Schizosaccharomyces pombe: one gene and its partner. The main gene of each other region encodes a partner of the protein of the gene in region 2 in a complex. Each region holds a gene or a part of one and is shown on either strand. Other genes may lie near its edges.

Region 1 (7,699 bases), on a different chromosome or scaffold from region 2:
ATTGAAACTTCAACGTTATTTGACTAAAACTTGTTAATTTACATGTCTGCAAGATTAATCCAGCATATTAAATAAATTAGTTGACTTATGTCAAACAAATAATACATTCTTGATATTATTAGAAAAAAAAAAGAAAATTGAATAACTTGTGAGAAATGATATTGTTATTATTTTAGATTATGTCCTTTGAAATACAATAACATGCTAAGGCACTTACTACTTAAGCCTTTATTACTTTAATGTGCTAACAATCTTCTGTATCCTTAGACGTTAAATTTTCCCTTATTAAAAAATAAAAAAATAAAAAAAAAATATAGGAAATGAAACAACCGCTGATGACTTATTCTGTCTTTTATGGCGATAATTTTCTGATCATTCACATGTGTTGAGATTTTTCGGAAATACTCTTCCATTACCTTTGATTTTAGCAAAATGGCTTGCTTAAAACAACAAATTTTTTTAATTAATCAAATTTATTTTAAATCTATTACTCGCTGCCGGTTGATATTATATCAAGCTAATTTTCATTTTATTTCTGAAAAAACATCCAAAATTAAAATCATTTTTCGCAGGAGCATTAGCGGAGGACCCTCAATGTAATGCTAATTTTTCCAAAACGACACTTTCTTTTATGAGGTCAGATAAACAACCCAACAGTCAGGTAAAAGGTATAAAGTGCTAGATTATAAATGAGTACATCCCAAAATTATTATATATTAACGAAATGCCCATCCATCAATAAAATTATTATATACAATAAACCAAAATCAACCAATGTGAAACAAAACAGTTTGCTTTTTTCCGTTTTTTTTCTTTGAAACACCCATCGTATTACTATTACGATTGGAAGAAGTATTTGGTGTAGACCCCCATGAATCAACGGGACGAGCCTGCTTTTTTCCGAGTTGAACAGAAATTCTCTTCGAGGTAGAAGGAGGAAGTGCGGGAAAATCTTCTTCAGATCTTGCATTTAACGCAGATGCACGTGCTTTGCGCACACCCCAAGAAGGAGTATTTGCAGCTGAGCTGTTCGTTGGCCTTGAGGTAATATTTGCTAGGTTTATAGAAGATGATGGAGCAGACAAAGAAGGCCCATCGTGAGCTGCTGCACGCTCAATACGATTCCAAACACTAGCTGTTTGAGCAGCAGTCCTATTTGATCTCTTCAAGCGCAAAAGATTAGAGTTAGTAGTACCTATACGAGTATCATCTTTCGCATTCAGTATTTTCCATTCCTGCCAAGCTTCCAACAATTCCCTTGACTTCTCTTTATTTTCTAGAAGATTTGCTATTTGGTTGAACACGCCCGACAATTGCTCATGAGGCTTTGCAACTAATTTTGTAATGCGAGCAACAGCTTCACGAGCGGGCATAACATTACCACGGAAGGAAGAAACAGCAAATTTAAAGTCATTAATTTTGTGATCATCGTAATTCGTCAATTTTTGCATCCGATCAATTACTTGTTGGTGTTGTGCTTGCTCGGAAGAGGCCATCGGGGATTTAGTGCCCTTGGGTGGAGATGGAACATGATTTCTTGAAGCAGACTTACCAGACAGACGAGGCGCGGAGACAGGTACTGAGGGTGCGGAAGAGCTATTTTGATTAGCAACCTCGGCTAAAGAGGGGAAATCTTCGTTTCTTAACGTTCTAGTTTTTCCTCTGCTGATGGTTCTAGTAGATGTCGCTGGGCGGGCAGATGTAGGCGCCGGATTTGATAACGTGAAACCAAAATCACGATGGCGAGCTTGTTGCTCGCGAACATATTCTTCTTGTCGTAAGTGAGCAATCTCTCCACGGGAAAGGTGTAGGTTAGAGAGTGAGTTGGCAGTCTCATTCACTGAAGTAGATTGTTCGGATGGTGTGGAAGAAGTTCGTTCACGACGGTTCCTGCCGGACGCGCCGGGTGGGTCGTAACTAAATTGAGGAATAATTCTTCGTGCTTCTCGAAGTTCGCGTTGAGTAAAGTTGTGGGGATGCTCATCCAACTGATGCGCTTTCAAATCTATTTCAGTTCCAAAAACAACAAATTTACGTTCCAAACACTCCCTTTCACGACAAATATAATGATCTTTTTCAAAGTGGCGCTCTAACGAATCATAATTTTTAAAGTACTGATGCGTCGGCCTTCCTGCAACTTGGTCACAGATGTAACATCGTTCATGTTTTTCACGGCAATGCTTAAACAACTCATCATCATCATAAAAATGGGTATTACAAAACTCACACTTCGGGTGACCCTTGAATCCAGTAATCTCTAAATCGGATCCCTGATCTCCAACTTCATTGTGCTTTGTCAATCCTTTCTTGGAAAATAGCGTGTGTTCATGGGTAAAAACCTTTTTGTTCTTAACACAAAGATCACAGAAAAACTTATGGTGTTTGACCTTCGCATGCAGCTTTAAATCAAACCAGCCTTTGCATGTGATATCGCAAGCGTCTTCTGGACAGTTGAATTGAAGCAAGAGGTTGGATTCTTCTTGAGCATGCTCGTCAGAATACACAATTCCAAGTTTCTCATCTTGGAAAGGAAGTTTTGCTAAATCGACATCATGAATATCGATTTCATGATCTTTAGTAATGAGAACCGTATCCCATTCGGTTTTACAAAACGTACATTCCTTCGTTTTGTATAGCGCTCGCAATCTCAAAGCACAAACATGACACATTCCTAATTAAGTTAGATTAAACATAGTTGTAACATTTTTAAAACATGATACAAGACATACGATGATTGCAAGGAAGGACGCAGCTGTAAGTAATACCTTCAGCACAAATGAAGCAAATTTGCTCATCCTCATCCTGTTCTTCTTTGGAAGCATCAACAGTAGCGACATTACTGACAGGATCTGTGCCAACCGGCTCTAAGCAAACTGCATTTTTTGGAGTTTCTACCGACCTAGAGCTTACCGGTTTCTCTTTACTTTCTTGAAATGTGTTAAAAGGAATATGTCAACAAGGAAGTTACGTACGATTCCTATTAGTTTTTTTATTATGAGTCCTAGAATTCTTTTTTTCCGATGCTCTGTTGTGCTCCTTATTATTTAAATTGGGGCCCGAAGGCGACATTTTGATTGTTTATAGAAGATTGCGTGTATGGCGCTGGGTAAATAAAATTTCGTAAAGCGAGCTGCTGTATGCTAAAAAAAACAGTTTAGCTGGAGACCTCTGAATTAGCTGGAATATCGCAAACTAAGAATATATTTATAATTTCAACATTATTGGAAAGTTTTTAAGCTTCTGAATTGATTTTTGAAACGTGCATCGAATATTTTGTTAGAAACGTATATAGCATTGAATGTACAGCGGAAGTAAATAGCAATCTCTTATAAAGGGCTTATATAATTTACTAATTTGTTTTGAAAAAAATATTCCCCTAACTTTTTCGCCATAATCTTTTTACTTTGTGCTTAAACAAGAAGTCGTGTATGTATGTAAGCAAGCGTTGTCCTGTCTACAAATAAATGCAATTGTTACAACTGTTAAATGTGGCTTCATCTAAAGTGTGATTGGATCTTTAGAAGTCGTAAACACCATGAAATGATTCAATCAATAATAAGTATATTCATTAAGGACTAATATAAAAGAGAAGAACACTTTCCACTCAGTCTAATCAATTTATAAGTCTTTTGACGGTTATAAGCAGCAATCTTCCAAAAAAAAAACGACCCACAAGCACACAAAAATGTTTATGTAAACATACTCTAACAAACGGATGACAGGTTTGCAACCCCAAAGAAAATCCCAAAATAAAATAATAAACAAATTAAAAAGACAGTACATTATTTGAGACTTAAAAGCATATATCCAGAAAACATCCATTTGCGTATAATTTAATATATACACTATAGACACAAGACGAGTACTAGTCATACAACCAAGCCATATCTTAGATCATCCAAAACTGTAAAGCAAACATCATATTATGGGTTTGTAATACGCAAGGGTAGTAAATAAAATTTATTATTGATGATATGGCTTCGACAGCTCCAAGCGACGGTGGTTTCGTAAACAAAATTCCCCGACAATGGGCTGAAGTGAATCATTTTTTATTTCAATGATATTATAGAGCAAAGCAGCGGTAAAATAATTAAAGGTGCGGTGAAGAAAGTGTTAATACAATACATGAAAATCTCCATCATGCACAACAGTTCATTTAGAAAAGAAAATCAATATGCTATATGAATTTATAAAAAAAAGCACAAAGATATCCATAAGGAATAGGTGATAAGAAATATTCGTAAAATCACAGTCAGTCTAACGTAAATTACCTCTTGTAGCAACCCAAGGTCTAAAGTCAGCAACCTGAACTTTTGTTTTCACACTGCATTTAAGATCAGAAAGTTGTAATGCAAAATACGATATCTGATTATGCGTGGAGACTCTCTAGACATACATAGCCTCTAGTATTAAAGCACGGATATGACATGGACATAGGCAAAATCTGTTGAGGAAAAACAGGTAAGCAAGCGAGTATTGAACGAAATAAACATTTATTGCATGCAATGAAAGCAAAAAACTTGAATGATTTTTGGAGACAAAAAAAAAAGGGATTATTGCAAGATATTATATGAAAAAAAGTTTTGGCTGTTTTATATGGTCATGCAGCAAACACAAAGGCTCAAGCGGTGGATTCGGCGGTAGGAGGCTCGACCAACTCTTTTTCCTCCTGCTTGGGAAGATCGTTCGGAGCCGCTGGTTCTTCATTTTTAGGCTGAGGTTTGGGCAATTGATCATCAGGAATCTTCGTCATGAGATTTGTTAAGTACTATTAATTAAGTTAGCTTAGCTTCGGCAGCAGGTAACAAAGAGCAATGCGGAATGTTTTCCACAAGTAACCAAATGAAAAAAGTAGACAAGGAAAGTTACAATCGACAAAGTAAAAGTTTGTTGACAAACCTCCTTAAAACAATTGTGAACCCATCCATGATTAACTTACCTTGTTCATGGTAAACATATGCAAAGTGTCGACTTCGAAAACGCTTTTCAATTTGTCATCACAAAGAATTGTTCGCTTGTCGTTGGGATCTTGTAAGTCATGTGCTTTTATATACTCCCATAACTTCTTCACAGTTTGGGGACGAGATAACTACGTTAGTTAGCAATCAGCAGAGAAAGCGTGCAAATAAACATTTAGTATGTAAGCCTGCCTCTTTTTTCAAAACAACAAGATTTTGAATGGAACGAGTAGGCACGGCTTCCACACTACAACACCGCCTTACCTGTTCAAGACCCAAAAATTCGGCCAACTTAGGGGACAACTTCATAGGCTTATTCAGAGGATTGTTGGCAGGATCTTGGTTCCTCTTGCGTTTTCCACCCTCTTCTCCATCTTCCTTGCGTTTTCGGGTTCTCTTTGCTGGTTTCTTGCCTTCTTCAGTGCCATTTTCCGTCGCTCTCTTACCCTTGGTTTTGCGAGCGGGTGCTTGTTTTTCTACAAGTTTGGTTAATTATTATTTCTTGCATTATTATTTGCAAATTTCTTCCAGCAATATTCTCATCTTACCTAAACTCTCCTTCTCTGAAGGTGCGGCGGTTTCATCAAAGCATTTCAAAATCAGCGCATTCAAGTCTTTTTTATGCGCACTCAAATCTACCTTTCTTCTTTCTTCTAAAAGTTGACGAACTTGCTTCGCAGATACAGTTTGGCGATCAACTGTACCGAGAATTTGCTTAATGTCTGTTTCGTACTCTTCCATCGTTCTAGTTCTTTATACTACCACCTTACTGTGTTGGTCAAAGTATGGTGTAGTGAGACGGTGGTAGTGGATATAGATTACGGTAAAGAAGGAAAGAGCGCTGGTGTAGCTAAATGCGATTTTGAAAAACACGCTATTTTTACAGATGTAAATACATAAAGCTTCAATTTAATTTCTTGTAAAACTAAAAATAATGGAAATTATATATGTTATTTTGTGCTCTCATGTTAGCTTTGTTTACTATTAGAATGCTGCTTTTTGTAAATAACTGAACTTAGCCAAAACCAACACTTGTTCCAGTATGAGCGTTGGGAACGTTGGCAAGCAAAGGGAGAAAACAAAAGATTCATCAGCTAAAACAAAGCAGAAAACCCTCTTTGGGTTTTTCTCCAAAATCCCGAATGTGAAACAAGAGAAGTCGGATTCTACATTATCTAGTAGTTCGAATCACGACTCTAATCATGATACGCCTGCTGATGTTGACAACAGCTCCAATGTGAACAAAAACTCTTCGTCTCCGGAACGCGAATTGCCAACGAGTCCTTCTCATCATGCGAATACCGAGATAGATTCCAGTTCATCTATGCTTCCTCCTCCATCAAGTGATCCATTTTCCTCACCGCTTTCTAGCAGCCTACACCGATCATCTCCTAAACGCCCTCATGATTCTTTGGGCGAGGAGTCACCAGGTAAATTGCTTCGCACGTCTGTGAAGCAAGAGCCCGACTCTGAAGAAGAAATCGATTCTCCGACGAAAAAGAAAAGTTTTAAAAGTTTGGATACATCAATATTTCAAGCTGAAGATCAATTTCGTCATCCTGTCTCGTCGAAGCTGGAAAATTCGGAATTATCTGAAGTCGACAAGCCTTTTATAGCTTCTCGGCGTTCAAGGAAGGTATGGGTAATTGAGTGATACATATTACTTTAGAAGAATAAAAGGGGAAATACGCACTTTACCCCTATATTAACCAGATTTTTGTTTTAATTAATTATGACTAACAATATGCTAGCCTGTTTCCTACGCTGAAAGTGATGAAGACGAAGACTTCGACGATGCACCTACCAAAGGATCTCGTCATAAAAGAATCGTTTCTGATGACGAATCGGATGACTACGTTGAGCCCGATCATATTTCGGAAGCCTCATCTGAGGCATCCTTGCCTATTGATGAAGTCGAATCTATGGATGAGGATGTTGATGGATATTCAGATCATTCCGTTTCTGTGGCTGCTCCAATTCCCAAAAAGGAATCTCGAAAGGAGAGTTCCAATTCTTTGTATGAAAGTTATCGGCTAGGCTCTCAAATTGCCAGTCCAAGCCCTTCGGTCTCGGGTTCTGCATCTCCCACAAAATCGAATAAAAACGGTGTCCTGAACAGAGAAGAAAAAAGAAGGCAAAGAATGGAGGCATTTAAAAAAGAAAACAACGAACGTTACGAGTGGTTGCTAGATGTTCGAGATGCTGATCAAAATCGAGTGGGTGATCCTAATTATGATCCGCGCACATTGTATATCCCACCTTCAGCTTGGGCAACTTTCAAGCCATTTGAGAAACAATTTTGGAAAATTAAAAAGGACCTTATGGATACAGTTGTTTTTTTTCAGAAGGGAAAATTTTATGAGTTATATGAGAATGATGCCGCTATCGGACATCAGGTATTTTCCTTAAAGTTAACTGATAGAGTTAATATGAAGATGGTTGGAATTCCTGAAGCAAGTTTTGATTACTGGGCATCTCAATTCATTGCAAAGGGGTATCGTATAGCTCGAGTCGACCAATTGGAAACCGCTTTAGGTAAAGAAATAAAAGATCGTCAACGAACTCAGAAGGAAGAAAAAGTAGTTCAGCGAGGCCTTACCCAAGTCTTAACGAGCGGGACCCTTGTTGACGAGGCAATGCTGACTTCTGACTTGTCAACATATTGTATGGCTATTAAAGAAAGTCTTCAATCTGACAACGAAGAGCCTTCTTTTGGTATCTGCTTCATTGATACCTCGACT
Region 2 (9,849 bases):
TGGGCATGGAATCCTTCAACGACATGCCTTTTTGAAATCTATGAAGAGTGGCTCCACATCTCAATTGACTTCAATGGTTTCTTCAGTTCAGAAAATGAAAGGATTTCGTACTAGTGTTAACTCATTTGTTGGCTTGGTACTGATCACCCTTTTGTCCGGTGCCTTTGTTGCTGGATTGGATGCCGGAATGATTTATTGTACTTTCCCGGAAATGGGCGAAGGAAGACTTGCTCCATCTAAAAGCGAGTTATTTGATCAAAGGTTTTGTAGGAAAGACGACAAGTCCGATCTTATATGGAGAAACATGATTGACAACCCAAGTCTTGTTCAACTCGAACACCGTATCTTAGCTATTACTACTTTTGTTGCTGCATGTGGTCTTTTTATTTTTTCCCGTGCTAAAAGAAACATTTTGCCTAAGAAGATTAAAACTAGCATTAACGTTGTTACAGGCGTTGTAACTGCTCAAGCTACTTTGGGTATTATGACTCTAATCTATGTTGTCCCTGTACCTTTGGCAGCCCTTCATCAAGCCGGTAGTCTTGTTACATTAACCGCGGCCTTATCACTTGCTCAGCGCTTGCATCCAGAATACGCTTTAAAAAACATCCGCTCATGGACAAAATTAATCTCTTCTCCTCCCAAAAGTAGCATTTCATCTTCCATTTTGACTCAACAACGCCAATTCCATACATTCCGCCCATCATTCCATTCCGAAATTAAAAAGCCTTTGCCGGGCACTGGAATCAAAGTTTTTTTCGTCACGCCTGAAGGACGTGAAATCATGATTGAGGGAAATGAAGGTGATAGTATTTTAGATCTCGCTCATGCTAACAATATCGATTTAGAAGGCGCTTGTGAAGGGTCTGTTGCATGTTCGACTTGCCATGTTATCGTAGATCCAGAGCATTACGAACTTTTGGATCCCCCGGAAGAAGATGAAGAAGACATGCTTGATTTAGCATTTGGTCTTGAGGAAACAAGCAGATTGGGATGCCAAGTACTCTTAAGAAAAGATTTGGATGGCATCCGTGTACGAATTCCTGCTCAGACTAGAAACATACGATTGGAGAGACCAAAAGCTTGATTTTGTCAACATGCTTACAATTTGACAAGTGTCTCGTACTAGTATTCCATAAAAGTATTTTCTTCCGAAAGTATACTATCTCATCCGTATTCTCAACTTTCATTTTTTTTTTTTGGATCAAGTTCATGCCTAGCTAATAAATGCACATAACTAATTAAATAGTCAACCTGGCACATGGTTTTACATTTTAACTATATTCCTTCTTTATCCAGACTACAGTTGTTTTAATTATAAATTAACCCTTTGTTTTCAAATCTTACACTTAATCATGAAAACTTGTAATATTACTAAGACCAGGATGAAGATGGTTTCTAAATTTCATACTTTTAATGTTTTCATCGTCGTTTATATTTTTTTTACTATTAAATGCTTAAAGTTATTTCATGATTAACAAGTAGATGCTCTATTTTTCTGTATTGATGAAATGTAATATATAACATGGTATTATAGTAGACACACGGTTTAGCAATTGCTCACTTTTGCCATGTATTTCTTAATTGGAAAAGTTTAAATACTGACAGCTTTACACTTTATATGTGTTTTAGTCGAATGGCTGTTTTATTGTACATAGCCACCACTATGGTACAGTGGACACCATAATCTGTTAAGCCACCTAGTGCATACACCGTCCCAGCACCATGCATCCTGCTTTGCTATGTGGGCCAATTCTTGCAATATTTTTACAGTTTTTGGTTTCTTCTTGCTCTCCATTAGAAAACGATGATTTATTTCTAGTTCAAGTGGAACCTGAAGTTGATCCTGTAGTAGCAGCAGAAGCCATTGGTGCTAAGTATGTGCGCCCTTTATTAAATTTGAAGTATCACCATTTAATTAAGCTACATAAGGGGAGCGATGATTCAGTCCAAAGTTCAATTCGAAAACGAGGCATTGATGCCGGAATCTTGGAATTGGAGCGCCAGACGCCCAGATGGCGCTACAAGCGGGATGCGAGTGAATCTGATGAATTACTGAATGAGTTCTCTAATCATTTTGGAATTTCGGATCCTCTCTTTTATGGCCAATGGCACATATTCAACTCGAATAATCCTGGACACGATCTGAATCTACGTGAAGTCTGGGACGCCGGTTACTTCGGTGAGAATGTTACCGTTGCATTTGTAGACGATGGAATTGATTTTAAACATCCAGATTTGCAAGCTGCTTACACTTCGCTTGGTTCTTGGGACTTCAATGATAACATTGCTGACCCTTTGCCAAAGTTATCAGATGATCAGCACGGCACCCGTTGTGCTGGAGAAGTGGCTGCAGCTTGGAACGACGTTTGTGGCGTAGGCATAGCTCCACGCGCCAAGGTCGCTGGACTTCGTATTCTTTCGGCCCCTATTACTGATGCTGTTGAATCGGAAGCACTGAATTATGGCTTTCAAACAAATCATATATATTCATGTTCCTGGGGCCCTGCAGATGATGGAAGAGCAATGGATGCTCCTAATACGGCTACTCGTCGTGCGTTGATGAACGGTGTCCTTAATGGCCGAAATGGTCTTGGGTCGATTTTTGTGTTCGCTTCTGGAAATGGAGGCCATTATCATGATAATTGCAATTTTGATGGCTACACGAATAGCATATTCAGTGCTACCATTGGTGCTGTTGATGCTGAACATAAAATCCCATTTTACAGTGAGGTGTGTGCTGCGCAATTAGTTTCAGCATATAGTAGTGGCTCACATTTGTCTATATTAACTACAAATCCTGAAGGCACATGTACTAGAAGTCATGGTGGTACCTCAGCGGCTGCTCCGTTAGCATCTGCTGTATATGCTTTGGCGCTTTCGATTCGTCCTGACCTTAGTTGGAGAGACATTCAGCATATTACAGTGTATTCAGCATCTCCTTTTGATAGCCCTTCTCAAAATGCAGAATGGCAAAAGACTCCAGCAGGATTCCAGTTCTCCCATCATTTTGGGTTTGGTAAATTGGATGCATCGAAGTTCGTCGAGGTGGCTAAGGATTGGCAGGTCGTGAATCCACAAACCTGGCTCATTGCTCCAGAAATTAATGTTAATAAATCATTCGGGAGTGTTAACAATGAGACAATAACTGAAATGGTAAGCGAATTTACCGTTACTAAGGATATGATTGAGAAAAGCAACTTCAAAAGATTAGAACATGTCACTGTTAGGGTGTGTATACCTTTTAACCGAAGAGGAGCATTGGAGATTCTCTTGGAAAGCCCTTCCGGCATTCGTTCAATCCTTGCCAGTGAACGACCGTATGATGAGAATAGTAAGGGGTTTTTAGACTGGACGTTCATGACTGTGCAGCATTGGGCCGAACCTCCAGAGGGGGTTTGGAAGTTACTGGTTAATGATCGAAGTGGTGGAAAGCATGAAGGTACGTTTGAAAATTGGCAGTTGGCTTTGTGGGGAGAATCTGAAAACCCTTCTAATACTGCACCACTCCCTTATGACACTCTTGAGCTTCCAAAGGAGATGGTCTTGGGAATATACTCTGAACCAAATAGCGATCTGACTAACTCAAGTACCTTGTTGAGCCCTACGTCTACTTCATTTACTTCTTACACCGTATCTGCCACAGCTACACCTACATCAACGTCTCATATACCGATTCCTACAGTCCTACCCCCTACCCAACCTGTATTGGAACCCTCTTATAGAGAAATTGTTGCATTTATTACTTTCTTTTTGTTGTTTGCCTTTATTTTCGTTGCTGTCATATGGACATGGATTTCCGCATTTTGGAAAGCTAAAGCACCCCCACCATTGTCTCAGCAAGAAATTGCTTGAAAAGTTAACACTCGTTTTTTCACTTCTGTTTAAAATAATATGGACTACTTTTTAAAGTATGATCTCTTCTTAGATGTCACTTGTCATTCGTTTCATTCATCGATATGAAACAACCTAATTGGCATTTCTTAATTTTGCATTTTAATAAATACGCATGGACTACGTATTTAATTCGACCCCTTTGAAGTGTAATCATTAGATAGCGTGTATAAATACCAAGTAATAAAATGTATATTGGATTATGCTTTGGGTAGTTGAAGTGATTGTCTTTACGATTCACTGGTAACAGTATTCGGATTTAATAGTAAAGGCTTTGCAAAAAAAAAATAGTTGAAGTCCTAATATGTTTGCTAATGTATCGCAAAGCTTGTTAAAATCTTAACAGCATCGTTGCTTCTCGCTTTTCAGCAGCCTGCATACATGTCAAGCAATGTAATTACATCTGTAATGTTGATTTTAAACAATTATCAAAAGATAAAAATTTCAATACACAAATACGCATTCATAGCTGTTTAACAACTTTACGCCATATAGAAAAATCATCAAAGTTAGTCATACAAATGTAACGGAGTCATCTCGAAACAAACGAATGAAAAGTAAAATGTACAAGGATAATTCATCTTTCTTCAAATTCTTCCAAACAATCAGTAACCATAGCATCCATCCATTCAGTCACCAAATATCCCAACCCCAATAAAGCACTTTCATCCAAACACTCGAATGACTTTTTCCCTGTCGCAAGCATGTATTCTGTTGCAAAATCCTGGATGCTATGAACTAAATCCTAAACATAAAAAGATTAGTTAAACAAGTATTGGCAGAAGCTGTGAACTTACAGGATCCGGCAGTTCATGTGGAATTGGAACAGAAAAATCCTGTACTAAATCACGAGCTCTGTAAGACAATTCACCATCAGCATTCACCAAATTATACAAAGTTGGCCGAGTTGGTGGATTTGACATTAATAGATGGCGTTGGACGTAGAGTATGTACTATGCTAGGTGAAGCTTCTAATTCGTCCTTGCAGTAGTACAATCATATTTGGAAACACCAAGCTCAAGTAATGGAATCCCCACATTCTTAAAAGTTAACTGCGACTTACAGAAAATTTATCTCGAGGTTTACAGACATACTGAAAAAATAGTTCAGGCTTTACGACATAACAACAAAACAACTTTACACAGATACAATCCAAACCATATTATATTGACCCAATACTTAATTAAAGTGGGTTATTAATAAAACGTAAAGAACCTTTTCGCCATTTTTGAAAGGGGAATTTTTTTTCTGTCATATACAGATTTAATCTAATACTATTTATCGGTCCTGCCGCGTAAAAAGACAGAATGTTGATAAAAATGCAGAAGGAAATCGAATGGTCGATATAGACCATCCGTTGACCACAATCGTTCATTACCGCCTAGCATGAACAATAGAAATATGTTAAAAAATTTCGGAAACAGCGGAGCAGGGTTCGAGAGGGAAAGTAGTTGCTCTAAATATGAGCTTTTGATAGCTCATCAGCAAGTTCTTTGTCTTCTTTTTCTTCTTCAGAAGTCTCCGGCTCAGGGCTTTGAGACTCAGCTTCTTCTTCTTCATCCTCCTCCTCCTCGTCGGTAAGTTCCTCCATATCATCAAGCTCATCTAGTTCACCACGACCACGGGTGCTAAAGACTTCACGTATTTCATCAACAACATCGTCTTCTTCCGAAAATCTGTTTCCATTTAATTCAAGGAATAAAAGATCCGGCATTTTCTCATCAATCACAGTTTTTAGGGTCCGGACAGCATCCAGCTCTATCTCGTTATACTGTAAGCGTAACGTTTGAAGCCCAATATTTTCTAATTTAGAAAAAGCATCTACAACTGCGGCAGCACCGCGAGCAGATAAGAGACAATCGTTGAGGCCTAGTTCTCGAAGGTTGGGCCAGCTTTTCAACGCGATAGCGAGAGCGCTAGAGCCCAAGTGCGTAAATGTGTTATCTTGAAGATCGAGTACCTTTAGCTCTTGGCAATATGCTAATCCTTCAAGCAATAAGTGTTCAATACCTTCGGGACGGATACCATTTTGCACCATTTTCACTGTATGTAGCAAACGGTGGCTCTGGAAAGTTTTAGCCCATTCTTTCATACTCCCATTTTCTAAACGATTTCTTCCACAAATAATGGAACGCAAGGGAGGTGCATTTTTAGCTTTCTTGTTGACCGCCAGCTCTTGCAAGGCACGAGCAATTTTTGCGCCAGCTTGAGGACCGAGTCCATTATTGTGTAGGTAAAGATGCTCCAAAGGTGTGTGTTTTGAAAGAAAGTCAATCAAGGGCTCCTGTGCAGTAGGGCCAAAGGCATTATCGCTCAATCTTACAGTATGTAGTTTTGGGCACTTGAGTAAAGCTTGTAGCAACAGACGTAAAGCCTCAGGAATTTCATCTTTGACACGTCCAGTAAAGATATCACTAAACTCTGCAATTTCTAAATCTTTTTTTGAGGCAATATTCTCTGACAACCATCTAGCAGCTTCGGTTCCAATTGTGTTACCAGACAATACAATTTCCTTTACAGAATCATCTTCTAACAGAACAGCAAATACAGACTTCTCGTCTTCAGTTGTAATTGCATCTAATTTCAAAGACTTCCCTTCTATTGAAAAACGCGACATGGAGTTGGTTGTTGAAAGAAAAAATATAGCAGGTATGGTGGTGAGGAAAGATTGTGTGAACTAGCTGTGTATGTTAAATTTGATCGAGGATAGATGCTTCAGTCACTTGAATTCATGGCTTTTAAAAAAGAAACTAAAATAATATTCAAAGTAGAAGAAGAACGAAATTTATCCTCTTTTGACGGATACCCCCTTTACTCAACCTGTTTTTATTTACAAACTCAAATGCGATCTCTCGCTAATGAGTTTAATTTTAAGACGATTCTATGCTATTAGAAGTCATTTAAATTATTAGATCAGATTAGCGCAAACCGAAAGATACTCAATGTCGGAGTGGTGCATTAGTGCTCGGATACGTTCCTGAAAGACATGTATAAAACTTTTGTAAATAGGATGATTGAGCTTTTTTGACATTTATCTATCATTCATTTTTGAAAAAATAGCTGTGACAATCCTGTTGCATATAGTTTGTTTTTTTGACTAAGTATAGAGGATCTTATGAAGAACCTTTTTGAGTGACCTTAGTCCTGAATTCTTAGCTTAAGTTTGCTTTAACTTAATTGCATTTCTAGCAATTAACATTGCTAGATTTTTGCCTCATCGCTAGTCCATTTATAAGAATACGAAGTTGAACGAAGGAATATTGACCAAAAGAGCTTGGTGACTTCCAAAAAATGAAGAATCAAAAAGATCTGAAATGAGTATCCCTATCTTTCAGCTTTCCGCTTGTTTCGTGATCATTTCAGTTACTCACACATATACATTTATGAGTTGACCCAAAAAGAAAATCGGAAAGCGGGAGTTTAACAGATATATGAAAAATCAAGATAATAACAACAATTGATATTTTTAGTTTAACATTTCTTATTCATTACTGTGAAAATCCACGAGTCTGCACTCTAGACACATAGAATACTCTTTAAACAGCTTTCACATTATCAGGAAAGCTATTCCATTGATACTGTATTCTTTTCAGTAAATTAATTCTCATTTCATAGTTGTAACCATTCTCGAATTGGACTTCAGTCCGCATTCCAGTACTTGATCTGCTTTACCTGTTTCAACAATTTGAATCGTTTGATTATTTTCCCATTCAATCATGACATTGATTTAGACGTATTGCTGAATTAAGCCATTCCTGTTATTTGTCCCAACGTATAAAACTGGTTAAAATGTTTAAGTACTGTGAATCATGTCATTAAAAGTTTGGAAACGTGATTTTAAAGGAACAACTCATTATTTTGAACATAAATCATTACCATACAGATTTTTCTTCTTTTTCTTCTTTTATTATAAATAGGATACGATAAGTAGAGGAAACCGTAAATTTATGATGATTGACTCCATGATGCGGTAATTTCAATCCTTCCACTACACACTGCCTTTAATTCCAGGTCCATCTGGTTAATCATTTTTTAAAGAATCTAATTCATTCATATTTTTTTATTATAATTTACATTATATTTTCAATTTCTTTTTACTGTTTTCTCTCGTTTCTTGAGTCAACGGGCGAAGATTCGTGTTTCAAACGTAGTATTCTTTGGAATATCACAAATCTCATTTTAATTTTTAAAACGGCTTTCTAATTTTCTACCGAGAAAGAGTAGAAAGTTTCCCATTTCATTCATAATTTCTGATCCATTCTTGGTATCTTATTGTTTTGCTTTTATCCAATCTCAGTTTATATTTGTGAAACTTGAAAAAGAGTTTCTCTTGTCTCTAAAAGACTAAATTTTATTTTTTATTTTTTTATTAATTTGCATTTAACATCTGCTAATCTTTAAAATGGCAGTCCTACAGTGGAAGTTATCTCGTGTTATATTCGTGTTGTTAATCATTGGGATTAGCTCTTTTCTCATTTACTTCCAATTTGGAAACTCTTTTTCTGCTTCACCTGCTTTAGAACGTTTACAAGATGTATTTTCCAAACCAAGTGTACAAGAATACGACTACTTAGTACCTCTGGATGAAGATATGCAAGGCCTTAGCACGACGTATCATCAAGCGACAATTAACGAGGATGATCCTCAAGAGCCCAAATCCCATGAAATAGTAATCCTCTTAGCGAGTGATGGACGTTCAAGTGGCAATATGGCACCTGAAACATTTAATCAATGCATAGAAAACCGAATTAACTACGCAAAGCATCACAACTATGGCTTTGAATATGTTAATGTAAGCCAAATGAACATTCCTCCAGTGTGGGCCAAAATGCCCGCTATTATACAAACAATGAATAAGCATCCTCATGCGAAATGGATTTGGTGGTTGGACCAAGATGCGTTAATTTTGAACACAGAACTCTCTATTCAAGAACATATTTTGTCACCTGACGTTTTAGTGGAAAAGTTAATGAAGAATGAACCTATGATATCTCCATTTAGTGCTGATCTCGAACGTCTCACCCCAAGTTCCTATACTGTTGACAGTGCTCGTTCTTTAGGGCTATTGATTTCTCAAGATTTGAATGGCTTAAACGCGGGAAGTTTCTTTGTTAGAAGGTCGCCCATGATGGCTCTGTTTTTGGACTTATGGGGCGATAAATCCTTTAGAGAAAATAAGGTTGCGGATCATGAACAGGCCCTTTTGGGATATTTTGTTAGATATCACCCGGAAATTGCTGCTATAATAGGAATTTTACCTCAAACCCTTATTAATTCTTACCCTGTTGGCCAGCCGGAAATGGGCTGGAAAGAAGGTCATTTGGTTATACATTTTGCTGGGTGTTGGGTGGAGAACCGTTGTCAGGTTTTGTGGGATGAATATCGTGAGAGGGTTCATTGATGTGCATTAATAATAATAGTATTACCATTATTAATGCATTTGGTTATTTCCCCTCATCTTGTCTTTATTTTTATTATACACAAGCCACTGGATGCCACTCCTTTTACATAATTACCTATACAATTATGCTCTATGTATGTGTATATATTATCTAAGCATAGTCTGCCTCCTTAACCGTGCTAGTTACGGTTGTTTTCAATGGAAGAATGTGTTTATTTTATATGCGGTGTTCTGTTACAGAGGTGGTGGATAATCATCTAATTCCTTCTTTAATTTTTCTAATATACATTGCTATATAAACTAATTGTGACACTTATATTATAGGTGGTTTTGCAGGCCCCAGACAAATATTAATTGTGTTTAATTCATAAGCTTAAGGCTGAAACCACCAATCTTTTATTATATTTGTTTTATTGCACTTAATCTTTGGCTTTTTTTCAATTATTATTGAATCTATGCTACCTGTGTGAAACATAATCGATATTACTCCTAAAAAGCTGTGGATATTTGGGTAGGTAAAGTTATATCGCTTGATCCTAAGTTTGATATTTGTA

Evidence for each region.
Region 1: rrn10 (region 2) and spp27 share a complex: the UniProt entries of both Schizosaccharomyces pombe proteins name them as parts of the UAF (upstream activation factor) complex.

The regions. Positions count from the first base shown.
Region 1 is NC_003421.2:1,829,983-1,837,681, reverse strand, and holds spp27 (RNA polymerase I upstream activation factor complex subunit Spp27), read right to left. Parts: upstream 5,700-7,699; coding exon 5,507-5,699; exon of another isoform or gene 5,435-5,506; coding exon 5,223-5,434; exon of another isoform or gene 5,090-5,222; coding exon 4,940-5,089; exon of another isoform or gene 4,886-4,939; intron 4,769-4,885; coding exon 4,622-4,768; 3' UTR 3,513-4,621; downstream 1-3,512. Other genes in the region: hel2 (ubiquitin-protein ligase E3), read right to left, coding at 768-2,671, 2,730-2,927, 2,973-3,069; msh6 (DNA mismatch repair protein), read left to right, coding at 6,001-6,594, 6,710-7,699. UniProt on the Schizosaccharomyces pombe protein: Component of the UAF (upstream activation factor) complex which interacts with the upstream element of the RNA polymerase I promoter and forms a stable preinitiation complex. UAF seems to stimulate basal transcription to a fully activated level.
Region 2 is NC_003424.3:5,028,446-5,038,294, reverse strand, and holds rrn10 (RNA polymerase I upstream activation factor complex subunit Rrn10), read right to left. Parts: upstream 4,859-9,849; 5' UTR 4,818-4,858; coding exon 4,692-4,817; exon of another isoform or gene 4,640-4,691; coding exon 4,472-4,639; 3' UTR 3,856-4,471; downstream 1-3,855. Other genes in the region: etp1 (monooxygenase-ferredoxin fusion protein), read left to right, coding at 1-803, 849-1,087; krp1 (kexin), read left to right, coding at 1,726-3,855; RanGAP Rna1, read right to left, coding at 5,351-6,511; alpha-1,2-galactosyltransferase Gmh3, read left to right, coding at 8,297-9,295. UniProt on the Schizosaccharomyces pombe protein: Component of the UAF (upstream activation factor) complex which interacts with the upstream element of the RNA polymerase I promoter and forms a stable preinitiation complex. UAF seems to stimulate basal transcription to a fully activated level.